4 linked regions of the Alligator mississippiensis genome follow. The protein of the gene in region 1 interacts with the protein of each later gene in a biochemical or structural test. Links are inferred from orthologs where the notes say so. Each region holds a gene or a part of one and is shown in the gene's direction. Other genes may lie near its edges. The genes, in order: RNF40, UBE2A, WAC and UBE2B.

What was found.
Region 2: the proteins of RNF40 (region 1) and UBE2A form a complex in vitro, tested with the Homo sapiens proteins (3 studies listed by BioGRID). The link is inferred for Alligator mississippiensis from reciprocal best matches to the Homo sapiens genes RNF40 and UBE2A.
Region 3: the proteins of RNF40 (region 1) and WAC form a complex in vitro, tested with the Homo sapiens proteins (2 studies listed by BioGRID). The link is inferred for Alligator mississippiensis from reciprocal best matches to the Homo sapiens genes RNF40 and WAC.
Region 4: the proteins of RNF40 (region 1) and UBE2B form a complex in vitro, tested with the Homo sapiens proteins (3 studies listed by BioGRID). The link is inferred for Alligator mississippiensis from reciprocal best matches to the Homo sapiens genes RNF40 and UBE2B.

The regions. Positions count from the first base shown.
Region 1 is NC_081830.1:1,180,726-1,188,392, reverse strand, and holds the start of RNF40 (E3 ubiquitin-protein ligase BRE1B), read left to right. Parts: upstream 1-4,648; 5' UTR 4,649-4,717; coding exon 4,718-4,849; intron 4,850-6,442; coding exon 6,443-6,610; intron 6,611-7,667.
Region 2 is NC_081831.1:72,656,622-72,663,700, reverse strand, and holds the start of UBE2A (ubiquitin-conjugating enzyme E2 A), read left to right. Parts: upstream 1-4,067; 5' UTR 4,068-4,237; coding exon 4,238-4,281; intron 4,282-4,505; coding exon 4,506-4,586; intron 4,587-4,697; coding exon 4,698-4,723; intron 4,724-7,079. UniProt on the Homo sapiens protein: E2 ubiquitin-conjugating enzyme that accepts ubiquitin from the ubiquitin-activating enzyme E1 and transfers it to a E3 ubiquitin-protein ligase. In vitro catalyzes 'Lys-11', as well as 'Lys-48'-linked polyubiquitination.
Region 3 is NC_081828.1:190,515,314-190,523,024, forward strand, and holds the start of WAC (WW domain-containing adapter protein with coiled-coil), read left to right. Parts: upstream 1-4,708; 5' UTR 4,709-4,808; coding exon 4,809-4,849; intron 4,850-4,965; coding exon 4,966-5,002; exon of another isoform or gene 5,003-5,230; intron 5,231-6,294; coding exon 6,295-6,490; intron 6,491-7,310; coding exon 7,311-7,379; intron 7,380-7,711. Other genes in the region: microtubule nucleation factor SSNA1-like, read right to left, coding at 3,627-3,971.
Region 4 is NC_081832.1:70,120,065-70,127,745, forward strand, and holds the start of UBE2B (ubiquitin-conjugating enzyme E2 B), read left to right. Parts: upstream 1-4,666; 5' UTR 4,667-4,760; coding exon 4,761-4,804; intron 4,805-7,681. UniProt on the Homo sapiens protein: E2 ubiquitin-conjugating enzyme that accepts ubiquitin from the ubiquitin-activating enzyme E1 and transfers it to a E3 ubiquitin-protein ligase. In vitro catalyzes 'Lys-11'-, as well as 'Lys-48'- and 'Lys-63'-linked polyubiquitination.

The DNA.
Region 1 (7,667 bases):
GGGACCGTACTTTGTGGGAGAAACTACGAAAGCCCTGACACAGGCTTTAGGGATACAACAGAAGCGGCGTGTGTCCTACCGTCCTCCGGCCAGGTGGAGACAACGAGCCGAAGCGTTGAGGAAGGTTGTGTGTGCCAGCGGTAAGAAATGGACTGAGAAGTCGCCCCTTCTTTTGGCAGCCGTTAGATCAGCCACCCGACTGAGACCACGTTTAACGCCATATCACATTATATTTGACCGTCCGATGGAGCTCCGGATCAACCCGCTGCAGCTCCGACCAGATGAAATTCAAGAAACAGGTGTAATCTCGTGGATTAAATAGCTGCAAGAAGACAAGGCAGTGTATAAGCACAAACCAGAAGAAGCCCTGTTGAAAACCTGAGCTAAGATGCAAGGAAAGCACGAGGTTGCCCCCCAGCTATGGCAAGTAGGGGACCAGGTAATGTACCTGAAATACAGGAAACCCCGCCATAACCTACACACCAGATGAGAAAGTCCATGTTGCACTGTTAACCTAGCTGGCCCGATGGTGTGCCAGATTGACACGGGGCCCGAGGGTATGTATATGGGTACACCGTGCTCAATTAAACAATATGGGATAAAACCTCCCCGGATGCGGGTTTGTCTTCTTATCTTTCAGGTTTTAGACGCCGAAGACATCGCTCTGCAGAGGCTCGGTGAGAGGTTCACATTAAATAAGTAAGCCAGCATTAATCCTACTGTGCGATCGCAACTGTTGCGTGTGGTTTGTGTGTTTTGTCTATGGTAGTGGCTGTTGGCAAGCTTAGAAGGATAGGGAAAGAGTAGAGAGACTTGTGTTGTTGCTTATATTGTAGAGAAACATGAAGATCCAGGAGGGGTTTATTTTCTGGATTGGACTTGCAATGGCGGAGGCGTGCATGGGATACGAGTATTGACCTCAATATCAAATTGAGCCTGGGTCGATACAGGACACATAGGGCATGACATCCATTGTATAAGGTTCAGCATATCATGAAGTGTGCAAATGTGGTGCATGTGACTACCGAAGAAGCAGCAGGTGGCATGAAGACAACAGAAGGCCGTGGTTGCTTTTGTAACCGAAGATAAGACTGTTTTGAAGGCCGACTCTTTCAGCTGGCCGCACAATATCCTCGATAAAGAGGAACCGGCTTCAAACCAGCTCCAACTGGTGAGATGAGAGGGCGCTTGTGATGTGCTGACCAAGCACCGCATGCCGGAAGAAGCATCTAGAAATCTTGCCCAGCAACATAAAGTGTAGAAAAGGGGGCAAAAGAGAGGATGATGCAGGAACGTGCCTCAGCACCAGCGCCCGCGCCAGGTCAGATGCCCTGCTCCATCAACGGATAGGGACCGGCCATCCCTATCTCCAGTGCCCTCGGGGTCGTGTGTGTGTGTCACCTGCGAGAATGTATGTGAGTGTGCGTGCGTGCGTGTGTGGTAGGGTAACACAACTCCTAATAAGCTAATGGTCTCTAATAAGTGTAAAACTCCCCAGCACCCTTAGCAATAAAGTACCCCGCTGAAAAGGGACTAACGTTTTCTCATTAGTCCCAGTGCTGGGTTACAAGGGCACGGGGCAGAGGGCCCAGGCTGTGAGAGGGGGCAGGGGGCATGCTCCGAGGGATGAAATGAGGGACCCTCATGCAAAAGACGGCCACTCGGTTCCTGGAGCAAAGGGGGCGTCGTTGGCCAGGATGATCCAGACAGGTGTTGAAAGCTGGATTCATGATGTAAATGATGACAACGACGACGACATGCTTAACTTTCTTCCTTCCCCCTTTCATGCTTTTCTTAACTTGACTCCTTTGACAGCTCCTTGCCTGTGGATCATCTCTCTGCAGTCGGCTTATTGTCCATATTTCATCCTGTCAGCACAGCCCTTTGTTCCACATCCCCATTATGAGCACACCTCTTAATTTGGCCTTTTTTCCGTTGTCTTACTTTAACCATTGTTCATTGGTCTCCTTTATCACCTTTCATTAACAGATCCAATCATTCCATCCCTCTGATTCAGCCGATTAGCGCCAAGTTCAGTTAAGTTGAGCTAGTAACAAACCTATTGCTACGTTGTGTCAGAAAACCTTCTCGCAGTGATAGACAAAGGAAAGCAACATCACGCGAGCAACCTCAAGACCATGAGCTGCTTGCAAGACACAAGGCCTGGCATTGCTGCTCTAACATTGAACATTTGCTGTTCAGGATGGACGGCAACTGGAGCATGTGCCGCTGTATGCATCTTCAGGATGGTCGAGGTTACAGATCCCACCAGACCGCCCTTCATTGGATGGGTTTAGAAAGGATCTGCGCTTATTAGTAACGCGATATGGGCGTGATCCATGACAGCTCCACTCTTCTTCTTTGTGCTACGATTAGCGTTCGCTCTCGTCTAGTCTTTATGCAGATGGGACCTGCAGTAAACGCATTTGGGAGAACTACTACGTTTACTAGGAAAATATCTGATAGCCCACGTCTCCGTGCTGCTCATGGGTGTCTCTATCCTGAGCTGTCCCTCAGGTGATTTTTGCAGAAGGCGGTGACACGCGGTCTCTCAACTGTATTAGGAGGAGGGAAAGCCAGCGTAGGTGTGCTGAAGGCTAGGGATACCGAACCCTTGGCTGGTAAATTGTCCCGAGTGACCCATCACTTGCAAGACATCAGAGCTCCTCTTCCCTCCTCTCCGTCCAAAATCAGCATTCAGGATTGGTCGAGCGCAAAGTTACTCCCCAAGTGGAGAGGCTTCAACGAGCCGAAACATCGATTAATGGGACGTGCTTGAGGTAAAATGCACATTAACATGCTTTAATGCACATTAGCCTACTTTAATGTGCATTAACACATCACTTCAAAACCGTGCTCAATAAAGGTGTTACCAAGTGCTGAAGCTGCTCAGGTCAGTCTGGTGGCCAGCCAGGCTGAGCCGAGTGATGGAGTCAGGTCTTGTTGGATGTGCCTAAAACGCCTTCTTGCAGGTGGAAGAGATCCAAAGCTTTGTCTTTGTGTTCATTCTTTATAGTGCTCGCAGTCCATACCAGCCTGTGGATTCGGCTGAGTCAGACACAAAGGTCATCCTCCTTGTCCTGTTGGCAGGCTGGGATTGTTAGGACATGATCTAATGGCTTTGTGGTCTGCAATCTTCAGGGGGGTCGTTGCTTGCAGTCTTCAGCCATCAAGGCTTTTTGCCTATTGCTTTTAATCGTATGTATTTTCTTGAGTTTTGCATTGCCTTAAGAAACTCCATTTTGTATTGCTCTGTAGCTGGACATAAGTGTTCGACCTGTGTATGCTGGCTCAGAGTGTGTCTGTGGAAAAGGAAAACATCAGCTGGCGACTAGCTGAAGAAGGCAGAGAGATGAAAGACCAAGCAAGAAGAATCTGCCCCCAAACAGCGAGAGCACAACGGCAATCAGTCTTCAAGGAAGAACACAGCGATAACACAGCAAGAGCCCAGAGGACTGGGTGAATTGACAAGGCTATAAAAGATGGGGCGAGACGTATTGATTCTGGGCCTTGTTCTGCACGTCATCCTGGAGCATCGGTTCATCTGACGAGATGGACCGGCAGGAGCCCGGTTTCCACTCGGGATCAACTTGGCTGGCCACTAAGTTGATCCGAGCACCGATAAGACCAGTAACGTATACCACTGCAGAACAGAAATTGGGTTAGTGTGTGTGTGTGTGTGTGTGTATTAAGCGCTCAATCAATAAACTCGGCATCTTGCCTTATCTCGTCTCGTGATTTGAGCAATTGGCAATTTGTGTAACACGCCTGCCTCCCCACCCCTCCAGAAGGGGATTAAGGTGCACTGGGGCGCTAGGCAAGCACAAAATTGGAGGCCTCCTCCCCCATGGGAGCTGGGCTTTAAGGTCCTGGTGGCAGGGCAGGCTGGGTGGACCCTGCTGGGCTGGGGGGGCACATACCCACCTCTTCTCCCTGCTCCCCACCTGCGCTATGGCCCAATGTGCGCACACAGGCGTGTGCACCCTCTCTGTACATGGACATGCACACACACACATACACACGGGCACACAGAAACAGACAGGCACACATACACATGACCCACTGACAGACAGGCACAGAGAGGCACACGCTCACACACGCCCACGCTCCCCTCCCACCCCGGCAGTCTCTCCCCGCACCCCCACTGGGGAAAGGACCTCCAGGGGAGGGAATGTGAAACCCCCAGCTTGAAACTTGTCCCCAAAGATGGGAGGCAGTTGAAGGATCCGAGGCCACTGGGTGGGAAGCAGACAGGCAGGGGCGTTATGCGCACGCGCCAAACCAGCGCAGGCCCCCGGGAAGCAGCGGGCGTTATGCGCAGGCGCCGAGTCCGCCGTCCTCCGAAGCGAAGCATGGGGCGTTGTGCGCATGCGTCAAGCCGGCGGTGCTCCCGAGGGAAGCAAGGGGCGTTGTGCGCATGCGCCACGCTAGAGGCGCTCCCGAGGGAGTGCGACGCCGTGGTCACACACAGTAACGGTGTCGTTTCGGTTGAAATAAAAAAGAGCGAAAAGTGGACGTGTTTGCTCACCCGGCGGGAGTCCCCCCCCACAACTCCACCAGCGAGGGGAGGAGCATCCGGCCCCTCCTCCACGCCCTCTGACCCCGCGCCCGCGTCGCGCTTCCGTCGCGTCACGCCCGGCCCTGCCCGCAGTGCGCAGGCGCGTCCCCGCCGGGGCTGCGCCGTCCCCCCGCCCCTTGCAGCCCCTCGGGCAGCGCCATGTCGGGGGCCGGGGGCAAGCGCGCGGCGGGGGACGGGCCCGCCGGGCCCCCCGACAAGAAGGCGGCCCGGGAGGAGAAGACCACCACCACCCTCATCGAGCCCATCCGCCTGGGCGGTGTCTCCTCCACCGTGAGTGCGGCGGGGGACCCTCCCCCCCCCCCCCCGTGCTGCGGGTGGCGAGTGGGGGGGCTTCCGGGTGGCTTGAAAAGAAACCCTTGTGCTGGGCGGGTGCGTGTGCGGGTAGCCGTGCTGCTCGCCACTTGTGGGGACGTGCAGATTTGGGGGGGGGTATTTCCTAACTGGAGAATTGAGAGTTTTGTATCCGTCCGGCTCGCGCGCTTACCCTCCCCCCCCCATCTCACCCCCGCCTCGCTCGCCCTTCCCTGCGTGGCCCCCTCCGACAAGCCCCGTCCATCCGATCTACCCGCGCACCCGCGAATCTCATCCGTCTGTTCTTCCACCCATCCGCTGATGTGTCCATCCATCTCGTCCATTTACCCTTTCCGTCATTTTATCGATTCCCCCGCCCCCGCTCTTGTCCGTCCATCCGTTGTCTCCAGGGGTGGGCAGTTACCTGGGCTGTGGGGCCACTTGAGCAGCTTTGCCGTGACAGCCCCTGTTTCCTGTGCGGCTGCCGAAGGGGTGCCCTTGCCCCGCTTACCCACCTCTGGCCGCTGCTGCCATTTCATTTGATTACAGGGTGCGATGCATATCAGGAGAGGGGGAGGGGGGAAACTGCCTCTTTCTGCGGCAAATGCCTTGCACTGACTTAGTGGGGCTGGTTGCGGCCGTGTGGGTCTAAGGACACGGGCAGACAAGTTTCTTTGGGTAGACGTGATACCTCTTATTAGACCAACTCAGAGAGTTGGGAAAGTTGTTCTTTGCAAGCTTTCAGGCGCAAACACCCTTCTTCAGGGACAGGGAGACTCTGATGACTTACCTACTTACCTGTTACGATTCAGGGTTGGTGTTCATCGGGAACTGGGGAGAACCAGGCCTGCGGCACTCGCATGTCTCTCCCGGTCACTTCTGTGTGGGCACCAATCTCTTGGTCCTAGGGGAGGGATGGACAGTGATTTGGCCCATGGGCCACATAGGGCGTGTCGTGGGCCAGGTCAGCACCCCGTGCAACAGTTCACCAAAACTGCTGAAGTGGCTCTGCTCCGTGCTCAGCTGGGATAGAGCTGCGTCGGGGGGGGTGGCATTCGGGAGCAGCATGGGCGGGCAGGGCCGAGGCTAGGATCCCGGGGCAGCGATGGTGTGGGACCAGGGCAGAGCCATGATTCGCTGCCTGCATGTCCCTGAGGCGGCACCTGTTGCTCTAGATTTTCTGCTTGGCAGCACTTCTGCAGCTTGTTCCAGGCCCCTTGGAAATGGCCACGGCTGTCAACATGGGACAGTTCAGGGGTCTGTGGGAGAGACTTAGGGGGATGGGAGTAACTGTGGAGGGGGGGCAGGTTGAAGGTCTGGGGGTAACTATTGGGGAGCAGTTGAGTGGGCTGCGGGTAATGGGCAACTGCAGGGATGCCGGTGGGGGGCGTAGCTTAGGGGTCTGGGGAGCAGCTTAGGGCTTGGGAGTGACTGCAGGGGTTTTGCCGGGCAGCTCACAGGGCTGGGGGTAACGGGTGGGGGGCTGGCAGAGCAGCTAGAGAGCAGTATGGGGCTGGGGGCAGCTTGGCAGGCAAGGGGCCCACAGTAACCCCTCCCTTTGTGTCACTGCAGGAAGAGATGGACCTGAAGGTGCTGCAGTTCAAGAACAAGAAGCTGGCGGAGCGGTTGGAGCAGCGGCAGGCCTGTGAAGATGATCTGCGTGAGCGCATTGAGAAGCTGGAGAAACGCCAGGCTACTGACGACGCCACCCTGCTCATCGTGCATCGCTACTGGGGCCAGGTACCCCCCCTCCCCCTCCCCCCAGGATCGTTGTCTTGGGGTTGTGGCGGGCTGTATCTGGGCCCAGACGCCTGGGTTCTGTTACGCCCCCACGGTGCTAAAGGGTAGCCAAAGCATAATCAACTCGGAGTTTAATATGGAATACATCTCTCATAATTCAGCTTAACTAAAATCTAACCTTATTAACACAGAGAGAGACAGAAACATTTAGTCTCGCCCAATCCCAGATGTTACTCTGCTTCACAGAAAAGGTGGCCAGTCAGTTCATCTGTGGGTAATGGCTGTTTTTCAGTCCAGGTGTTGGACAATGACATACACCCAACTTCCTTGTTTCCACCCTTTTATGCTTTTTCTTTTGCCAACTCTGCATTTCTGGGTACTGTTGATTGGTGTCTTTGTGATCATCATACTGGTCGTGTCTTATATCCTATCAATGTGTTCCTTTGCTCTAACCACACCATCACACGCTCACATTTTCATTTGGTCTTTTACTGGTGGCTTAATTTGGGCATGCCCAGGACTCCTTATTTGGTCTGGCCCTTAGAACCAGAAATTCCAAGGGCTCTGCAATTGGGCAGTGACCAGCTGGTCCCCTCTTATAGCCAGGGATACTGGTTTTCCCTGATTTAAAAAAAAATAAATAAAAAAAAAAAATCTCAAATTCTCTGATTAAAAAAAATTGCGGTTCTCTGATTAAAAAACCCGGCCAATGGTCTGATTATAAACCGTCCCATTCTCTGATAAAAATCGTCTATTCTCTGATTAAAAACCCACCTATTCTAAAAGAAGAGCCTCTGTCCATAATGCTCTGGGTCAACTGCACATGTGCTGCCAAGAAGTTGCACACTGCTAGGCTTCAAGGGCCTGGAGCATTCTGGGCAGAGGGAGCTGCCGCACTGCCTTCCCCCCAGCAACAGCTGGCAGGGAGTGGTGGTGGTGGGGAAGAGGGGAGCAGGAAGGAAAAGGGGGGGGGGGGTTTCCAGTGGCAGTGCTGCCCCCCATCACTGCCCCCACCTCTGCTGTAGCCCCCTGGTGGCAACTGAGTGCAAACTTTCTC
Region 2 (7,079 bases), on another chromosome or scaffold:
ATATTAAATTAAATTCTGTAAAGTATTCCAGAAGGAGGCAATTTTAAAGGTTTAACTTGGTATACATTTATTTGTAGAATAATTTATTATGCATCCATTGCCATGGCTCCTGTACACAATATATACCTTAAATTATCTGCTAATATGGCTGTCGTTGACTGGTTGTGGAACTAATTTAACTTCACTGAGACAGAAGGTAAAAGTCCATTCTTTGGATGTCCTATAAGATGCTAAAAGTGATTTCCAAGAAACCAGAGCTCATTTCTATTTTATTTTACTTTTTGTACACTGTGTCTGCTGCAACAGCTATTTATGGATGACTGTAATTTATACTTATACGAAACTTGGAAACATTCAGATAATGTAATCAGACTCTATTTTGAAGTTCAAGAGAACATAAGACATAGATTTTATGTCAACAAGAGTCATCAAAGGCTAACTTAAGACCTCATGTCACTAAATGCACGTTCATTAAATGAGTGTAGATGGACTTATTCGAGATCTGAATTTGGCACAAAGAACTAAATTTTATCCAAATGGAGCCAAAATAATTTCCCTCCACAGTCAATAATAAATAAGTCCAATTAACTTAATGTAAGGCTTTCAGGGAGGAGTAGAAGTGTAGGAGTCGGCAGCCCTCCCTGAAAAATAGAGTGGGATTATGGCCCAGTGGTCTGGCAAGCGCCATTCAGCCAGGAGGAGTGAGTGAAATTACTCCTTGCTTACAAATCCTTATCTTTACAGTTATTAGCTATGATAATAAACACCCCCAAGTCGCTAGTAACTCTAGGGAGCTACGAGGCTGTGCTGGGCAGATTGCTCATTGTTTTTCAGTGAAGTAAGAGCCAAATGCTTAATTACAGGTATCTAAATTAAATAGTTATAGTTTTCAGTCACTTTCATCTGCAGTGCAGAAATGAGGCCCATTAAACCTATATGCCCTAGCATACCCTGTGCCGCTTTGAAGCAAACCCAGGCCATTCAGATCACAGTTGAACACAGACGACTCAGACTTGTAATTTCCTAGGACTGAATCCTTGTAATGAAGATAAGGAAGGCTATACACCATATACTAGAGATGATGCTCTTTTTCATCCCTCATTTATAGTCTGATGTGGGTGTAACGAGAAGATGTACCACGCTCCTTCCTCCCCCCAAGCAGGTAAGAAACTCACAGCTCTAACATAAGATTACAAAAGCTACTCTTGCCACTACAAGAAAGTCCAGTTTACAACCAGATGAAAAAAAAAGCATCCACATACATTTAAAATTTCATGCTCAGATAGTCATTTCAGAAGCCCTGGCACCCAAGTAGTTGTATAGAAGTCAGCCTGGCAATCCTAAAAGCATGAAAGGACTCACTTCCCATAAGCAAGACCACCCATCTCCATTAAACTGTTAAAAAGTCTGATACCTACAGAATAAAACCTTGTTCTGTCTCCATAAATATAAACTCCTCCGCCTTCCTGACACAAGCAGGGGTAATGTCCCTGTAGCAGAAGGGGTCAAACATAGGGGTCAGAAAGTCCCATTCCAGCTGGAATCACGTAATGCAGCAACAGGGGTGGAGCGTCGGGATCAGACGTCCCACAACAGTTGGACTTGGACAGACGGACTCCAACCGTCAGCAGAAAGCTCGGCTCTTGACATTCTGCCCCAAAGATGGATCTGATTAGCTGGAAGGATATTAGACAATAAATGGGCCAAGAGGAAGTTCTAAGGTTCCTGTTTCTACATGGGAACAGCAGCATGGGTTATGCTGTTCTCCTGGCAAGAAGCAGTAGACCCTCTTCTCTGATGGCTGGCATGAGGTCCTTCCCAACTGGATGTGATTCTAGGGGAAAGATAATGCCATTGACAAGGAATGCCTGTATCTCTTGTGTAGAGATCACCAGGTTCAGTAAACACAGACATACATGAATGAAAAGAACTAAAACAAGTTTCATTATGGAGCTGCATGCAAGCTTCTGCAGATCCTTTGGCTCTAACGAGAAAGTTTAATTGAGAGATCATCTCTCAATTCCCAGCTTCTGTAGGCTAAGTAAGGGCTTGACTCTTAAGTTTGAAGTTCTGTCACAACATAGAGGGAGAAAGGTCTCTGATGTGGAGGGAAGAGTATCTCCCTAAAGGAAACATGAAGAGCAAAAGGGTGAAATGACAGGCAAGTCAAGGGATCAAAGAGAAACATGGTTTTTCCAGACACAAGCCATGCAGATAAAAAAAAATCCTCAAAGGGAGGCGAGAATTTGTCATTATTGTCAGAACTCATATAGAAAGCAATTTTTCTGTGGTGAAAATAATTAATGGGATACAGGTTTCAAAGAAACACCAGCCCAGGCAACACCTCAGCTTGCAGCATCTTCCCAGTGACATCACCAGTATCAGCCTACAATTCAGTAGACTAAATATGACAAGGTCTTTTAATCTTCTCTCATAAAATAGGTTCACCAGTCCCTGCCATTCTAGTAATCCTTCTCTGTTCCTGCTCCAGTCTGAATTCATCTTTCTTCAGCAAGCATGATCAGAATTTTACATCATGTTCTAGATGATGTCTCACTGGTGCCTTGTTCAGCAGCTTTAATACTTTCCTTTATATCTACTGCACCAAGTCATACATTCTAAGACATCATTTGTCTTTTTCACAGCCATATCACATTGGTTGCTGACATCCCCCAATCTAATTTTGCCTGAATATGCCAGCATATGATATTCTGATCCTTTTCTGTATTGAGAATGTTTCACCACCTTGTAACATTAACAAACATAATTAGCAAACTGCTGATATTTGTACCAAAGTGATTACTCCTACCTACTGTATGGGTAAAGAGAATGCCCTGTTGGGTAAACTGATTTTGGGGTTTACAAAAAGAAAATGGAGCCTAGTGTGAAAGGCAAATAATTAATTTCACTGGAAAAAACTATTTAGCACGAGTCCCACTCGGAACATAACCTAGGAGATCCTGCCTCTTACACATCAGGACACACCCTCACCAGATGCACGCAGAGGAAACAAAAGACTGTGAAGATTCACATCTGCACAATCACTGTTTCTGCATCTCTGATCTAGCAAGATCTGGACATTATTCAAGTAACGCGTGTCTCGGGTTTCCAGCAGAGGACGCAGGGGAGGCAGACATCCCAGTGCCCCACCCGTCCCGGTAGGAGGCCACCTCACCCTGATGGACAGTGAGGCTTTCCCCAGCCTCCTACTGCCATAAACACATCCTCCATCAGATCGATAGCTGAGCAGGCAGCCTCTTTGTTCCTAATTGTCAGGTCATGTTCCCCCTGCAGCTGTATTCCAGTTGATAAATTGGGGAGGGTTCAGCAGAACGATTAAAACACTGGAAAACCTTGCAAAGAACCCAAGAGCTTGTCGGAGGGCTCAGGGGTGCCTTGATCCCAGTTTACAACTGCCAAGGCCTGCCTAAAACTTTGATCGTGGGCTTTTTGATGGAGCAGACAAGGACAAAGCGGATCCAACGGCTGGAGGCTAAAGCTCGGCAATTTTGGGCTAGAAACAAGGGGTGTTGGTGAGGGTGGCTGTGGGTCACCGTGGCAAAGGGAGGCGGTGGTGCTCCCTCCCAGGCAGTTTTTAGCCCCCCCTTTAATTTTTCTAAGACATGTGCAAGGCTCCCGGCTGGAAGCAGAAACTCCTGGGGTGCGTGGAGCACCTTGGGGGACAGGTCAGGGATAACAAAGTGGCTTCATTCCCGTGACTCATGGGGTGAGGCTGCCCTCCACCTTCGCTCCCGCCTTAAACACACTGAGATCCCTTGTCCTGCCCTCACCTGAGGCAGCAGGTGCAAGGCCACGCCCCCAGCCACGCCCAGGGCGGGAACAATGGCAAGAACACGCCCTCTCCGCTGACGTCAGTGGTGCCGTCTCACTTCCTGCTGCCCCTCCTCCGCCGCGGTACTTGGTACATCCCGGATTCCTTTAGACACCGCCTCCCGCTTCTCCACCGCGGTGGTAGGGTCCGGCAGGGTTCACTCGCGTGCGGTTCCTCCTCCCCGCGGCAGTGGTACAGCCCGGGATCGCCCGGGAGGAGTGAGCCGCCGTCTCGGCCTCCCCCCCGCGAGCCGGCGCAGTGGTACGACCCGGTATCGCTCGGCAGCCCCCGCCGCCGCCGCCTTAGTCGGAGCCAGCTGCCGCCGCCGTCGTCCTAGTGTCCCTGAGCGCCCGCTCCTTCGCTCCCGGGGCTAGTGTATGAGCGATTCGTCACCCTGAGCCCGCCATGTCCACGCCGGCCCGGAGGCGCCTCATGCGGGACTTCAAGAGGTAACGAGGCCGGCGGCGGAGGGAGGCCGGGAGAGGAGGGGGCCGGCCAACATGGCGGCAGGAGCAGCGGCCCTGCGCCGCTTGCGTAGCGTTAGGCCACGCCGCTTGCGCAGGGAGGGGGGCCGGGGTTACGCTGACTGCTGGGGGTGACTCCCGGGGGCTACGCCAGCTGCGGCCCGCCCGGGGGGCGGAGCTTGGCCACGCTGACACGCCCGTGCCCGCAGGCTGCAGGAGGACCCCCCGGCCGGCGTGAGCGGCGCCCCCTCCGAGAACAACATCATGGTGTGGAACGCCGTCATCTTCGGGTGAGTGCGCATGCGCGGGCTGGCGCCCCCTGCGGGCGGGGCGGGCGGAGGGGCACCCCTGCGCTGCGCTCACCCTTCCTCTGTGCTCACCCCTTCCCCCTTCTCTTCCAGGCCCGAGGGGACTCCCTTTGAGGATGGTAAGTGCCGCTAAGCTACTGGGGTTTGGTTTGGTTTGGTTTTTGGAGGGTTGGTTTTTTTTGTTCTTTTTCCCAGTGTGACCTGCTTCTGGGTCCCTGCAACAGGTGTCAGCTTAGGACCTCCGCAGCCCCGGGAAGCACAACCACTGCCCACCTCCCTGCCAAAACTTCTGTCCTTAAAACTGCTCTGTGGTGCTACGTCCCTGACCGCTGCAAACCTTCCTTCCTTATTCCCCTCCCTCCTCCCAAGTCTGACTTCCTAAATGTGGAACTAAGGGTTCCTTACCTTAGTCTAGTTGTAGCTACTTTCAGTTTTTAAAACTGAAAGTACCTACGCTCCTTCTAAAAAAAAAAAAACAAAAAAAAACTTCCCGTGATACATTTGTCCCTAACTTTGTCATTGTTTGTAGCTTTGCTCACTATTTTCTCTGAAGTTTGCACTTCTGATGCTGTATGAAGGATCCAGTATCTATCCTGAACTTGCTAGACCTAAGCAAAGAAACAATTAGAAATAGTTATTCTGTAAAGGTGTCAGTATAGGACTACAATTAGTGTTGAGTCTTATGCTTTCATCATGAATTGCATGGTAAGACTCCCTAGCTCTAAAACTGTTTCTTCCTCTGAGGGAGCAACTGTTTGGCTTGAGGGCTCTGCCTTCCTGAGCTCATGCTTTCCCTTTTAAAGTACCTCAGACCCAAGAACACTCTAATTAGTTGCTTTTTTTTTGTCCTTAGTTAGCCACAAAACTACACGACTACCTCCAGCTCTCCTGCTTAGTGGCTGGTCTCTTCTCTTTTTTTTTCCTGCAGTGCCTGGTGCTTGTGGCTCTTTCCTTTGTTTGTGGGATTGTTTGAGGTCAGAAGTTCTCTTTGGTTTCTTGGGCCTTAATATACTAGTATAAACAGGTCTGGGTGATGAGACGGGTCTTGTCTTTACGGTGCACAGCCATCCCAGAAATGGATCACAGCTTGGAGGAAGAGAAACTGGCTCCTGTGAATTAATGGTATCGATCTTGAGAGTTGTTATTTTTTTTGTGTCTCATTTTGTAGTTCAGTGTTGGGGTTACTGAGATGTTTAGTAACAAAGGATTTTGACAAGAAGATCTACCACCTTCAATATATCTGTGGAAGATCAGCTTTGAAAGTGCTGGTATATTTAATGCTATCTAGGGCTTTTAAGTATTGATTTCTCTTCCCTGCCCTCCCCTCATGCCTTGATCTTAAATCCCTAAGGTTCTAGGCATTCAAACCATAATCAGCTTGAATCCAAGGCTACGTGCACTCCTGGTAGCTGGAGTATATTTCCTGTGTGCTTTAGCAGTAGGTTATTCCTCTTGTCTGTTGGGTTGTTCCTCGGCTAACATTCTTGGGCAGGTGTTCTGGCGCAGGTTGTGTACTGGGTTTCTTAATACCCAAGGCAGGAAAAATGAGCAGGGCATAAAATTGCTTGTTTGTTTGTTGGGGTTTTTTTTTTTTTTTTTTTGTTTTTTTTTTTTTGTTTTTTGTTACAGCACAGCTTTTTTTTATCTTGCTGCCTAGAATTGTATGTGTTGGCATCTGGAGATGTGTGCCCCACTTGAATAGTTTGCTGGTGCCTTTTACCTTGTGCTCTGTGCCACACTCTAAAGTTAGAGGGCTAGAAACGTAGCTCAGGAGGCTCCTGCCAGTCCTGTTGTGTCTGGTCCCCTGCATTTGTAGATTCTCCTTAAGTAAAGGAATTTCCCAAATTGCTCCCTTCACTTGGTTGCCTACAAGCAAAGGAACAAAATTTTTGAGATGCCAAAAGCAGCCTGTGAAATGCTATGGATGAAAGCATTGTCAGTGTCCTCATTACCCTTGCAATAATAGGAAGTAAGCTTATGTATGTGCCCAGAAGATCCTAGGTAAAGGACCATGCCCCATGCTAAAAGAAGATGACCCGCCCCCCCCGGCTGTGCCAGTCAAACTAGGGGGACCTCTTTTCTGTAGGTCAAAAATTAGGCACTTGGTGGGTATGTCTACACATGTCTTAATGCACAGTAGCCTTTTTTTACTGTGCATGAAAGTGTCATGTAAAAAAACCCACCACGCTAATCGCTAATGTGCAGTAAAATAGGCTACTATGCATTAAGTGTCTTTAAAGTGTGCACTTGCAGTACTGCATATTAGGGCAGCCTAATGTACACTTCACTACCTCACATTGGAGGTACTACATTTAATGGACATTAGGAAGAATGCATTCATGCATGTGTATCTGTACCTGGTATGATTTTATCTTTCTGGAGCCACTGTTTCTGCAACAGTATTGGCCTGGTAAGGGTACAGTAATTTGAGATCACCTGAGGTCTTAGATAGATTTGAATAATTTTATGCCTTCA
Region 3 (7,711 bases), on another chromosome or scaffold:
AGGAAGCAGGGACCAGAAACCAGGGCAATCTCTCCCTAGTTACATATCCTAACCACTACTTGCCTTACCTCTTGTGACCTCTCCATCCCCTACCTTACCCTTCTTTATGCTCAGAACAGCAGTTCCGAGATGGACAGTTTACCTGCTCCTGTGCTTAGTATTTTTTCTTGGCTAACTTGAGTTGGCCCCATTCAGCACACTAGTTCCTATGGATTACTTTGTCCCCATGTATTACATAATGAAACCCAGGCTTCCAAATCAGGGTTTGAATTCCACTCTGGAGGCCAGGTGATTTAAGTTAAGTATTGCTCTACATTACATGCATGACATACTTGTCATTCAGGTTGGGGAGTCAAAAGTTAACTGGGAGCAATGCTAATGACATTGCTGCCTCAAGTACTACTGGCTACAGAAATCAGTATGACTTTTAAAGACTCTAGCCAGATGGGTGATTAGACCACAGGGGACCTCAGACTCAGCTTTTTGATCCACACCATTTCCTACTCCAAATGAATGTCCTCACCTAGACAGTGCTGCATCTTCCTCCTATTTTAATCAGATTGAAACAATTTAAAAAAAGCTAATCACATCAGTTCACCTACAGTATCTTAAACAGTCAAGAAAATTCACATATACACAAGCTGTATACTGTATTAACAAGGTTTGCCACTCGACCAAAAGACTAATAACTTGGTCATACTTGATTAACGTAGCATATGACTTTAAAGTGCAGTAGCTATTCCTAAATAACTCCATGTGTGGACATTTCCATTCTGGTATAAAAGAGCCCACACTTGATCTGGAATGACTAGTCTAGACTCTCTCATATACTATACAGGCAAAAACATTCTCCACCAGCATAGATTAGATTAAAGGCCATATACTGTCCTCCATTTGTGATTTGACACCTCACTGTCACCTGTAGTTTTCTCAGTTAACAGAAGTGAGAAATCACTTTTTATTTAAAAGAAGCCCTAAAATCTCATTGTTTGGATACTAGAAAACCACTGTAATTTGCTTGTTTTTGTAAGCTAAATCACAACCTTTTTTAAAAAAAGCTGTCAGCTCAAGTACATTATTTTTGTCATTGTAGTACCCAGTTATACATAATAAACTCAAAATGTACACTAGTTTTGTTTAAATAATACAACAGAGACATGAATTACAGAGCCATTTGCTATTAAGACAACTATACTATAAATGGTGTCTCCAAGCAAGATGGAGAACACAAGAGATATAAAAACCACCATTTCACTTCTCTGTAACCAAAGCATTCATGATAAAAGGAATCTGTATTTAGATCATTTGAACTTTCATTCCAGAAAACTGATTTATTACCAGTGTGAAGTGGTGTGCATACACATGTAGCTTCAAGACCGAAATGCAAGTTGCACTGATCTAAAGGGAAAAAATAAATTTAGATGAGAAATGTCATTAACAATCATGACACAATGATTAGGTATTGATCAAAGCCAGATGTGGTCCAAATATTTTGCAGAAATTTGTAATGATAGTTCCACTTCCCTTAGAGCAGGGTGTCAAACGTGCAGCCTGCGAGCTGGGTCTGGGATTGGGAATCTGGCCTGCCTGGCTCCTAGAGGCTGGACATTTGTGGTCAGGCTCACTGCTGAAATGTGAGGCATGGAGCCCCACTGGAGATGTGTGTTCACAGGGGTGGAGTGGGGTATGAGTGTAGCCCCGGCTCCCTGATACTGCTGATCCTATTATTTTTAGATCCAGCCTGGGGAGCCAGATGAGCTTGACATCCCTGTATTAAAGTAAAAATAAGCAAAGAAGGAAGCAGGGATTTTGCCCTGATTAATACTGGGGTACTAGAATAGCAGCAGCATTCCTGATAATCTAATTTTAATCACTCCTGTATTACTCAAGGGAGACTGGTGGAAACGGAATATGTATATAGTGACAATTAGTTGAGTCACTGTAATCTCACCCACATTTTAAGCGTAGCATGGCACACACTAGAATAGAACTTTTACTTCATAAAACTGCAAAGACAAAATAGCCAGACGCAGTTTGCGCTGACATACATACCATTTACTTCTGCACCCAAGAGTTTCATAGTTTGTGTTATGCTGCCTGATGTGAGAGTTACCATTGCACTTCCTTAAATTTAAAGAATCAGTATAAAACAAAGGCTTTACTACTGCACAAAATCTTGGAACAAAGCAAAAGCTACAGTATGCTAACATATGAAGTGCTATAAAGAAGTTTTAATACACACTAGAAATAGAAAATAGGATCAAAATTGAGATTCTAGTCATGGTCTCTAACCTGCTTCCCTATTTCCAAGCTAGGTTTAACCACATCCAAAAGAAAGTTTCAGAGCTCAAGAACCATCTCTAATCTAATTTTCCACTTCTGAAGTGTATTTAATACTTCCTTTCCACGTTCTTCAGGTGTTCTTCACAACCCTATTGTAAGTATATAATTCGCTAGAATTACATAAAAGGTATCCAAAAGAAAGTTTCCAGGCATTTCAATCTTTTGCCCTCAGCTAAGATGACCCCCATAAACCAAAACTTCGACAATTTATGTAAAAAAATTTTCATGGAAGTGTGTTACATGAAAAACACTACAATGATACAGAACTACAATGATAAGGGCAGAAAAGCCTATAAATTTGTGCAAGGTGCAGCTGTGATCTCTAAAGATTTAGAAGTCTATTGCCAGCCAGATTACTAAACATACCTCCCTCTCCCTTTTCGTACACGTTTACAGTGGCCAGGCACAGTACAGGAACTTGATCAGCTAGAATTTTTAGGAAGTCAATATAGTCCCTGTTAAATTTAAGGTCTTTTAATACAATTGTTCCTGGCCTCTGTTTATTTTTGGAAGAGCTTTTGGATGGGCCTGACAGCCTGTAGACACAATAATAGAAGTTGTGTTATGTGCACACTTTAGAATAACACGCACCTTAAAAAAAGGAAGAAAAAAAAATCTATTTAAATAAAAAAGTCGGATAGATATCCATTTAGACAATAAACATAAAAAACAAACATTGTGCTACTACTGAGTTATGAAACTTATTCTGTGCTCCACTTCTTTTCCTCCCTCCCCACCCATTTGTTTTACACCTCTTTTTCCAGAGCAATTAAGGAAAACTGGATGGGATTCCCTGAAGCCATAAATATGGCTCTTGCCTTGGCTACAGGAGTGAAGAGAGACAAAAAATGCCCTCTCCTCTCAGATCTGGAAGCACTACTCAGACTGAAAGTCCATGGAAAGCAAGGAGGATTTCATATGGTAAACTAAAAAGAAAGCTTTTTTTTTTTTTAAATTATTATTACGTTGTCTGAAAACAGACATGGAAAGACATTTGTACCAAAACGTGACCTTCTTTTCCCACAGATCGATTTGCAAAACCTGTGTATATATCTTCATGTGTGTTGGTTATTAAACAGTTATGAATATTTGGTAGCAAAATACTGACTTTATTTTATGTGCGTTACACACTGCTTTAGTGCATTAAACTAAAGGTAAAACAGACAAGAGACCCCAGTCAAGCCCTTCCCCACTTCTGCTACCCCCAGGGTCTGTGGCTAACCTCATTCCTCACCCAAGAGGGAATTTAGCTCAGTTGGAGGCTGCACGCACACTGGCCCGTTTCAGGTGACATTGCTTTCCAGCACTGCCGTTTTGCTCAAGGCCCCTGCCTCCTGCTTCAGGACACTCAGCAGCGCTCGAAAGCTGTCCAAGATCTTCACGTAAGCAGCGTCGGTTTCAGCAAGGATTTTGTCCAGTTCGTCGCGGGCCTCGGCCTTGCGGGCCAGGCTGCCCGACACGCGCTCCAGCCGCTCGCCCAGCGCCCGCACGTCCCGCCGCAGCCGCTCCCGCTCCTCCTCGTCCCGCCGGATCTGGCGGGCCAGCTCGTCCCGCCGCAGGCACAGGTCCTCCAGGCACCGCACCACCTCGTTGTTGCAGCCCTGCAGGACGGCTGCCTGCTGCGCCATGCTCCGGGCCCGCTCCGCAGGAGAGAGGGGAGACAAGAGGAAGGAGACACTGCGGCGGGGCTCCCCAAGGACATCTTAGCCGCCCGCCGCCGCCTCCAGCTTCCTCCCGCGGGAGGCAGCCACACAAAATGGCTCCCGCCCCGGCCCCGCCATGCCCCCGGGACAGCAGCCCGCACTCACTGGCTCGGCCCGCGGCGGAGCCGGGCGCGTCGTCCGCTCAGGTCCGGTCCAGACCCCCGCCCGGCGGCAACCGCAACCGCAACCGCGCCGCGCACTCCGGCGTCGGGAGGGTGACGGAAACAGCCGAGGCTTCCCGAAAGCAGGTCCGGAAACAGCCGAAGTGTCCCGAAAGCCGGAACCGCCCTCCAGGGCGGAAAGAGCCGATGCGGCCCGAGCCAGGCCGGCCGCGGCCGATGTTTGCCGAAGGCAGAGTGGGCCGAGAGCAAAGGGGAGCGCGGGGCCGGGGGGCGGAGCGCGGCGGAAAGAGCCGGAAAGAGCCGAGGCGGGCCGAGCGCGGCGGCGCCCGAGTTGCCCGGATGTAGTTGGAGGAGCGGCGGCGGCGGGCGCAGCGGGGGGAGGCGGCAGCGGCGCGTCCGTGCTCGCCAGTGTCTCCGTGCGCGCGGCGCCCGGCTCGTCCCCCGTCCCGCGTGGCGGCGATGGGCCCGTGAGCGCCGCTCGCAGCCGAGCCCGAGCCCCCGCTCCCGCCCCGGCCCCGGCCCCGGCCCCGGCCGCTGGCGAGGCGGAGCGCTGCCTCCCCCTCCCCCCTCGGCGCCCGTGGCCCGGCCGCGGCCGCCCCCCCCGGCCGCCCTCACCCGCACGCACACGGGCCGGGCATTGATGGTAATGTATGCGAGGAAACAGCAGAGACTCAGTGATGGGTAAATGGCTCCGTCCCCGGCCCGCGCCCCCCGCCCCTCCGCCATGTTTGCGCCCCTCCCCCGGCCGGTAACGGCCCCGCTAACGCCTCTCTCTCTCTCTCCCCCTCTCTCCGCAGCTGTCACGACCGCAGGGGGGACTCGCAGCCCTACCAGGTACTGCAGCGCCGGCCGCCGGGCCCCGCAGGCCGCGGGCGCGGGGGGGGGCGCTACTCCAGCGCAGGCTTCGGCCGTCGCCGCAGGCCGCGTTGCACCCGCCGCCTCGGCCCTGCCCGCCCGGCCGCCCCGGGCCCGCTGCGCCGCGGGGGAGGGGGGTTGCGGTGGGGAAAGGGCGGCCCGGCGGGCCCGGCGAGGGGCAGGGGCGGGCGCGGCCTAGCAGGGCCCGGGCGGCCTTGGGCCTCCGAGCCGGGCGGGGCGGGGCGGGGCCGGGCGGGAGAGCCGCTGGGGTCTCTTGGAGCCAAAACAAATGGGAAAGCGGCTTCTCTGCCAGCAATGGAGCAACTTGGGAGCTGGGGCACTTGGCTTCATACCCGGGGAGGAGCTGCCTTCGAGGGCCCTGGAGAAGCACCCCCTCTCCCCCTTCCCGTGGGTAGGGAGGCAGCCCCTGGGCGCCTGCACTGTGGGGCTCCTCCAAGGGTGCTGGTTGCTCACGGCTCTGGGTATTTGATTAGCTGGGAAATGAAATCTGACAGTTGAAGGCAGCTGGAAGGGGCAGTTCCCGTGCACACAAACACTCCCCTGGCAGCGAAGTGCCTTGCCAAAGCAAGTAGGTGGAAGAGGGGCTGGACAGGAGCACTTCCAGCAGGTCAATATTTCCAAGTGGGCGCAGGCCAGCGAAAGCACTGCCTGTCCCACCACTGCGCTTCCTTCCGCCTGTTAAGTTGGTTTTATGGCTTCAGGAGATTCTTGCCCTTAAAAGTTCATTGGGGTGCTGGATTAGGGTAAAAGGTGCTGGATTAGGGTAAAAGTTTTCAAATCAAGCTTGCAGTGCGTGTGTGTGCGTGTGTACACTGGGTTTGTGCAGAAGTTACATATGATAAATAATATATATTGCATTACTTGATAATGAAGTAGGTGAGGAAAGAAGCTGGGTGTTTGCTAAACGTATCTGGGTCACAAAATGAAGAAGTTTGAGGAATGGCTACTTTGCTTTTAGAGGATATTAAAAATAATGTTCACATATGATATCAAAATGGGCAGAGGTGTCGCAAGACCTAAATCCGCCTCATAACATTACTTTGTATGGCTAACTACAACTAGAAAGCCAAAGGCTGAGTGTCCTGCTGAAATTGGTTTTCAGCAGGAGCTCTAATCACATTTATAATCTTGAGTCATACTAGATTGAAATTAAATGTGTTCTGTATTTAGAATACATGTTTTGGTGGGAAGTGGTAGTAACTGCTACAAAAATGAAACCCAGTTTTAAAGCGCATTCTCATCTCTTGCAGACTCTTAAATATTCATCAAAGAGTCACCCCAGTGGTGGTGATCACCGTCATGACAAGATGCGAGACACCACAGATCCTTCACCACCAAACAAAATGTTGCGGCGATCTGATAGCCCTGAAAACAAATATGGTGACAACACAGGGCACAGTAAAGCAAAAAGTGTGCATGCTCACAGAGTTAGAGAGAGGGATGGTGGTGAGTTGCTTTTAATTGACTTATTTAAGCAGCATTAATCTGATGTAAACTACGTAACAACAGCTACTACTGGGCAAATAGAACTTCACCTTGAATGACATGTCTAGACATGGTGGTCAACTAATTGATCCCTGAGCGATTAGTTTCACTGAACATAATTGTGTAGAACATCATGAAGTGAAGTATTTTGTGCCTCCAACAAGTAGTACATTTCGAGAAGGCCACAGGAGAATACATATATGCAATTTTAGTATGGTGATTCAAATTAATTTCTGCGATTCAAATTTCTAAAGACACTTGTAATATTAGCATGTGATAACATTCCATTTTAGATTTCTTCATCATAGAGATTTTTACTTGTTGCTTCAAAGGCTGAAAACTGTGATTGTTCTGTGGCTTATTAAATAACAGTAGTCTGCTTGCTTATTATGATGATTAATTGTTCAGTTAAGTGCTTAACAGGCTGAACGAAATAGATAATTTAAAATGCAGAGAAGCTTCAGAACTTTTAGTTGCTGTAAGGAAGACTAGTGAGTAGGGGATAGTATGCAAAGGTATTCCTGATTTGATTCCTACTTTGGGGGGAACTCATAAAGTGTTCCTGCTTTAATTCTCTAAATATTTTAATAGACTTCTATTCTATTGCCTGCCTTCCATTTTTGCTACCTCCAGTATCTTGCTTTACTTATCTAATGAGCAAAATTGTAAACATTTTACTGTTTACTATTGTGGGGGAGGTGGGGGGAGAGTTTACCTCAGACACCAGTCAAACTTAAGCCAGTTCTTGGGTTTTCAGTGCTGCTTTTCATTCTTTATTGAGTTACCATGAAAAGTCTTCAGGAAGAGGAACCAAAGAGATCTCTAAAACAACGTATCATCCATGCTATAGGTAAAGTTGACAAATAAGTGATGTAAGGACACTCATTTTATTACTTTTGTTGTGAATGCTTGTTACAATAGTTAACATTAAGGTGAAATGCCAAGTATCTTTTAAGATATCTTGAAGGGAACTCCTGGTCTCCACTGCAAGCATACTTATAGTATATGAGTACTTGTATGCTCCATATTTATTTTCTTTGCTTGAATCTACAAATGGAACTGTTTTATGCATGTTTGATATGCATGCATAAGAAACTGCAAGTTCGTAAGAAAATTTTTGCAGGATAACTTAAAAATATTGATCCTCTATTGTTTTTCTAAGCGTGAGATTACATTTAGATA
Region 4 (7,681 bases), on another chromosome or scaffold:
GGCCCGGCCCGCTGACCTGCGCACCGCGGCTGTCCATGGCGCCGCCACTAGGCCCCGTTACCACAGCAACAGGCAGCCAAGCCAACCGCCGCGGCCTCATCCCGTTCCACCCGGAAGTGGAGCGGAAGGGGCGGGGCCTCCCTGAAGCGTCCCGGTGACTGCGCATGTGCGGAAGGGAGCAGGGAAGTGGCGGCGCCTGCAGTGCCTTGGCGTCCAGCACGAGCCCTCGTGCGCATGCGCGCGGGTAGGGCCTCAGGCTTCGTCGGCCTGCGTGTGGCAGATGGTGCTGGTGGGGCAGGAGCGTGGTGAAAACCTGCTTCAGCCGGGAGGCCGCTGAGCTCAGGGGGCAACTGAAGAGAAAACAGGGACGAGGGGGCAGGGCACAGGTTTAGATGAATTGCTCCAAGTGAGGGGGACCCTGAGCGGAGCACACCAGGCAGGGCCTGCCGGCCCCAGACAAGGCCGAGGAGCCAGTGGGCGCTGCCCGGTGAAACTGCCTGGAGGGTGAACAGGCCAAGGACAGGAAAACAGCCCTGTAGTCCCTGGGGGTGGGGGTGTTACTCCTGGCCAGAGGCTCCTTCCCAGCCAGGAGGAGGGGAGGCCCCAGGGCCACGTGGGGCCATGTACCAGGAGTGCACAAACAGCAAGGTGTGGGATGGGAGTAGGGCATCAGGAGGTTGAGGAGGAGGCAGGCAATGAAGGGGCTGCGGCCTGGCACAGTCCAGGAGGGCGTACGCCAGGGTCTCCCTCTGCTCTCAGAAGGGGCGGGTGTCGGGGGTGTCCATGAACTCAGCAGATGCATTGTGACAGCTCTGTGGAGGAGCCGCTAGCTGTGGGACCCAGGATATGTGAGCAAGGTGGACCCATGGAGTGACTGTAAACAGCATTTTTTAATGTCCTTATAAATACTTGCAGGCTGGTATATTTCCTGGTTAATATTTATCTTGGCAAGGGGGCGAGCAAATAGCAGATGTCAAGGAAGTACCTGTAATACTGAATTATTGGATGCTTTTGTTTCCCCTTTGATCTTCATTAAAAGACTGCATGACTGTAGGATTGGTTCTGCCCTTCTAGGGAGGAGCTGCCTGTCTCCATCACAATTTGTACCTAGCAGAATGCAGCTCCAGACTCATTCTGGGGCCTCCAGGGGCAATGCAAATAAATAATGCAAATCCATTTCTCACAATTCCTTTGATTACTGTATATGTTGCTATCATTATTTTATTAAGATTATTATTTTATTCAGCAATATATTTTATTGCTTGGGTTTGGACACGTTAATGCAAGTAACGAAGCTCTGCAGGGGCACTGCAGAACTGAAGCCTTCACGTCTTTTGTTAATTAAGGTTTGCGGGATTTATAATATTTAGCGCACACGCAAGCAGCCCAGCTTCACTGCTATTTCCTAAGTTCCTTGAGGCTTATTAAGGGGTAATTGTCTGTTATGTACGCATGCAAGATAATTTTCTGTCTTACTGGTTTTCTAACTATAAACTATTTTAGATTAGCAGAAGGAATGACGCTGTCCAAAATTTGCCAGTTTTTATTTCATTTCAGCTGCCATCATAGGTGGCAGAAGGCTGGGGCTAATGGGGCATAGCCATAGACCATTACGTTATTCTTCAGACTTCTTGAATGAAAAAAATCAATTATCTTGTAGGGATGACACTGTAAGAAAAAAAAGTCATTAGAAAAGTTTTTCAAACTGGAATAGAGGTGGTTAGCCAGGTGAGTCAGAAGTCAGACAGAAGGCAGGGCAGGGTGGCACCTTAAAGACTAACTGGTTCAGAGAAAAATGAGCTTTCATAGACAAAAACCTACTTTGTCAGATGCTATGAAGTATGTGAAATGCATCCGATGTCATATCTTTGTCAGCTGCTGTAATGCATTATTTCATGATGAATCGAAAATAATTATTCCCATAGTGAAAGCAGGGGGTAACTATAGTGATAACATCATTTGCCAGTAAACAAACAATCACCAGCAGACATAAAACAATTACCTCCTACAGTGAGATCTTGGGTAATCTTCCTAGCAAGAGAATGACACGAGAAACCACAAACCACAGAGAGGGCTGGCCTCTCTTTTAGTGCTGAAGTTGTGACTGAACTTCAAACTTAACCATGAATTCTTTTAATTGGATGTAAAAAAAAATAAATTTCATATAATCCAGTTTAAGAATGCTACATCAGACTTCCTGAAATAAAGTTTACAGACCCTTGTTTTTATTTTCCCAATATACTAAATTAATTGAAATGTTTCTTTAACCCCTGAATAAGATTGAAAAAAAAAATCTTTTGAGTAAAAATGCATGCGACAGATCCATTCTTTTGGACAAATTACTGTATAACCTTGACATGAACAAGTTTGTATGGAAGGGTAACGCTGCCCTCTGCTGTATGCAACCAAAATGGCTCAGCTATGTGTCATATCATAAGCTACACAAAAATCTAGATCTCTTGGTTCCAAAATGATACCTTTTATTAAACCAACGGAAAGGATTTTTTTTTTTTGTGTCATTTCTAAGTTGATCTAATAAAAGGTATCATTTTGGAACCAAGAGTTTTAGGTTTTTGTATTTCTTTTTGTCTCAGATCAACACAGCTACCAAATACACCTCGTATCATAATCTATACACTGCTCCTGCTTTGAAGGTTTCTGTAGAAGGGTAGTCTGTCCTTTTAAGGATCAGTTGTTTGAGGCTGAGCTTTTTTTTAAGAATACGTATTTGCCCCTGTAGAGGGAATTATCAGGTTCAGCTGGGAAAAATGCCTGATTCCCTAGTCTACAGGGGCGGGCAATTATTTTGGGCGGAGGGCCGCTTACTGAGTTTTGGCAATCCATCAAGGGCCACGTGACAGGCAGCCAGGGCCAGATAAACATTCATTTTCTAAATTTTTTAGGGGCCCCACAGGCCAGATAGAATGGCCTGGTGGGCTGCCTTCAGCCCACCCGTGCTGTAGAAATAAAAGCTTAGTTGGGAAAGAAGATATACAGTTGGTTGTAGGAAGGTGAAATGTTCCTGGGGTAGTGACTAAGGAAGTCTTAATGGGGTGGGCCTTTGGCAAGGAAGACCCTTGGTTAGGTGCAAAGCAGTGGTTGGATTAGAATGATTTGGGTGTTTTGTGTGTGGCTTCCCTTTTCCCTTCTTTAAAAAAAGACTGTCTATCCAATGAATTGCAAAAGAAGGGTGTGAACAGATTCTGGGTATGTTGTTAGATTAATGGCAGATAGGTTCCTTAAAGAGCAGAGAACTGTACTTCTGGAGTGAGAGCTCTTAAATTGTGCAGCAGCAGCAGCAGCAGGAGAACAGCTCCGACGTGTAACATTAATGCAGTCAAGTCACAATACAGTTAAACTAACTAAGTACTTAGCAGGGCCAGACTTGTACATGGCTTTCGAGAACACAGCCCTTTTCCTGAAGAATTCAGAGCTTGCACTTAATACAAACAGCTTGGAGAGGAGGGAAACAGACAGCAAAGGAATGTGAAGTGCGCGCGCGGTGGGAGAAGGGTGTTCTGAAAGCTTGTACGGCAACGAGCGTTGGCTCCTATTAGTGTGAGGAATAGTTCTCCAGGATTGAAAGTGGGCTTGATTTCACTTACATGGGTCTGTGTTTTCTTACTCCGATTTTTGAAAAACTTGTTTTGTATCAGGGCCGATTCTGCGATCCCTTATGTCAGTGCCTAAATCAAGGGGTTAGTGGTTTCAGGGCTGTAGGATAATGGGTCTAAGTGCGTGTACTTGGCATGCTTTAGCAGGTGTAGAAAAGCTTGCAGGACAGAGATCTTCAGTTGCTTTGTGTTCATATAGTACAATGCCAGCCCTACTTACTTATGGAAGCAAGTAAAAGAATAAAATAACCTCCCCCCCTCCCCCCTACATAATACTTAACAATAGGGAGCTAAATTGCTTCCTGAAACAACAGAAACTGGTGCAGGGGGAATTCTCTCTCATGGTAGATGCATTAGAGCAGAATCACTTACAGGCTTGTACCAAGCTCAGCCTAGCATTAATTAGCTTAGCGTCGCTCATCCGGGAAACCCCCACCAGCCGCTATTGCACGCCCCACAAACACTGCTGCAGGAGTTACACGAATGAAGGGCCCGATGCATCTCTGCAAGGACATAAGCAAGGATGCGGGGCGGGGAAGCCATCAGGCAGGGAGCTGCCAACTTCTGCAACTTTGAATCTTGAGGTGAGGGGGTGTCTAAAACCCCGAGCCTGGATGCGTGAGATTTTTCAGGTCTTGATTTAAAAAAAAAAAAAAAAGACCTGAAAAAGGCTCCTTACAATTGGCAATAAAAATGGAAAGGGCATGCAGTCTTCTGCTCACAACTTAGTGCGAGCACACGCTCATTCTCCGCCCCGCGGCTGCGACCCTGGAGGTTTCTGCCGGTTGTCATCGCGGCCGGGTTTGCACCGCGCGTGCGGACCCCCCGGCGCAGCCGGCTGGGAGGAAGGAACCAAACACGGCGCAGCCCAAGCGACACGCACGGGGGTGTTCTCCTCTGCCCCCCTCCGCGGCCAGGCCCAATGGTGCATCCCGAGCGCGCTCCCAGAACCTCCCCCGCCCGCTGCCCGGTGTCTGTGGCGGCAGTAGTACATTCCGCTACCCCCCGGCTCCCGCGGCAGTGGTACATTTCGCCCCGCCCCCCGCGCGGAGGGAGACGCCATTGCGGGCTTGTTTGCGCGGCGGCGGCGGCGGCGGGTTACGGCGGAGCTCGCGGGACGGGCCGGCGGCGGGCGGGCGGAGGAACATGTCCACCCCGGCCAGGCGGCGCCTCATGAGAGACTTCAAGAGGTGGGTGTCCGTGAAGGGCTCTGGCCCTGGGGTTGCTGCAAGGGGGCGCCGGGCCCTGCTTCCCCCGCGGGGGTCGGCCCCGGGCTGTGCGGGCCGCTTGGCACGGGGATGGGGATGCTGCTGCCTCGGGTGGGGGTTGGGCTGGATCCAGCCTTTCAGGACAAGACCCAGCACCCCTCGCTCCTGCCCCCGGGGTGTGGGGCCGCCGCGAGGGAAAAGCCCGCGCTTCCCCCCCTTTTCCAAGTCGGTTTGCCACCCTTCCCGATACCCTCGCACCCCCCTTTTTGGGGCTTGACCCACAGGTTGAGAAAGGAGGTTGTTCATAGACATTGGGGGCCGGACGGGACCTCGTGAGATTGAGTCCAGCCCCGGGGATCACACTTTTTATTTACTTATTTATTTATTTAGCAAAAATCTCGTTGGTTTAATAAAAGAGATCCTCTCTGCTACGAGTCCTTGATTGCCTTTTCCTCCAGACCAACACAGCTGCCACCTGGATGCTTAGCCAGATAAACACTCAAATGCCTTTTAAATGGTCCCTCCCAACCCGGCTTCTCCAGGACTCGCTTCTCCCAGAGGAGTCGGGCTGGGAGAAGTCGGATCCCGTCCGGCCCCCGCAGGGTTGTGCCTGTCCAAACTGTCCTGCACGTGGTCGAGGTACACGGCAGCGATGGTAAATGTAGTAGTAACGGCGGCGACTGCCGTGCTTCTGGACTTGGAAACTTTGGACACAACGCGGTGTGTTTTGCGTGCAGGCGGATCCCCGTCATAGAGCACCTTATTTTTGTGTTGCAGTGAGCGTGGGGGTCATTGATAGTCTCTTTTTTTGTAATGGGAATGCCTTGAATTATCCCACTTGACGTAAATATATAGGTATGGTGTGGAAGGTCTTTGTTACGCCGTCCACGTTGTGTGGTTTTTGTCAGCTCTGTGTGAGTTGAAGGCACTGAGACATTCACACAGATGTACAGAAGTTGAGGGCTGGAAGGGACTTCGTGAGAGCATCGGGTCCAGCCCCCTTGCTCTGGACAGGAAAGACAACTGGGGTCAAATAACCCCAGCAAAGTGTGTCCCTTACTCAGGCAAAACTCTTGTTCTCTTTAAAAGGAGTTGGCCTAAATTATTGGAGGCAAAACTCTTGTTCTCTTTAAAAGGAGTTGGCCTAAATTATTGGAGGCAAAACTCTTGTTCTCTTTAAAAGGAGTTGGCCTAAATCACTGGAGATGACTTGGTTTCAGTAGTGCCACTTTATTAGTGGTCACTGTATTTTATTGCAGTATCTGCAAATGTGTAAGTAAACAGTTGACATGGGCTATATATGTATACATAATATATAGCAATGTTAAAAGTTTGATATGCAACTAAAATGTTAGGAATTGAGTTGAGGTTTAGAAGTTAGTTACCTGTCAGCAGTCTTCCCAGGTATTGTATAATGCAAACATAACATCGTGTAGTTCCTTTTAAAGCAAAAAAGGACATCTAAATCCTGTTCCTAATGGTGGGTCACAATGAATATAAAAAAACCTGACTACTTATGGCACTAATGGATAAGAATTGCTTTTGGAGACACTGATTCTGTTGTTAACATCGGAGGTGGATAAGTAAGTAAATAAATACTCTAAATAGATGCACTGAAGCACAGAATGAGTGTGCATTTATCTAACCTAACCATCTTGTACCTCCAGGCTGAGCTCATGTTTCTTTTAAAATGTCAGTCTCTTAACATTAGGGGGAAAGGAAATGCGTTTAGTTTGTTACTAACAATTACTTCAGTCTAAAAGTAACAGCATTCAGGTTGCATGTTTTGCTGTGAACTCTGCTGTGTTTATTGTGGTTGTGTGGTGGTGATGAGAGAAGAACTTGACAGATTATTGGAAGGCTGACCGTTCTTTAGTTCCTTTGAATAAAATTAGAAAAATACTAATTACAGCTCTTAGAAAAGGAATACGGATGCTATAAATACCACATTATCGCTAGCTCTTAAATATCTCTAGGCTCTGTTCAGGCAAGTTAAGCTTCCAGTTCAGGCCATAAATTCTCTGTAGTTAAAGATGTTCCCACAGCATAGTATGGGGGGAGCTTTGTCCTGATTTAAGAACCAAAGCTATCTCAGAACAGCACTTAAGTTTGCTGCTTAGGCTTTGATACTGGCAGGCAATCTGGTTTTTCCGGTAGGAAGAAACTGTTCCCCAAAGTGGTGGGTATGATCTGTTGATATTGAACTGTGTAAATTGTGAAAGGTCAGAAAACAAGGATGCTTAAATACAGGTTGGGAAGGACGCTGTGAATCTCGGGCAGAGAACTCCCTGCTGCTAGTTTGCCTTAGCGGCAATATTGGTGCTTGATGGTCAGCGTCCTTGCTAATATGTCATTCTAAAACATGATCCCTCTTGTGGACCTGAAGTGGTGGTGAGGGAACCAATTGGGGATTTATCCTGACTTCTGATGTACAACAGAATATCAAATCAAAATCTGTTTCTTGGCCTATCCCCTTAGTGCTTGGGTTTCCTTAAATACAATACATTTCTTAGTGCTATGGTGAAGCAAGTTTGGCTGTTTGGTTTGTTTTGGAAGTGCTTCAGATTTCAGGTTGTATGCAAGTATGTTGGAGAAGGCATAGTACCAACAGGGTAGTACAACATCTGTATTAATCCAGGGATTTATACAGTCCTAGGGCAAAGGTCTTGGTCTCTAAACTCCCACTTCATATACAATACTTCTTTGGTACCATGTTTTCCACTAGGAAATTGATGCATTCTTACTAATCCAGAACGTACGTGGGTGTGTGTGTGTCTAAATAAGTTAAGATGCTTCTATGACTCCTTTAAAGCACAGTGTTTTCAGGCTAAGAAGGAATGAAGAAAACAGTACAGCGAT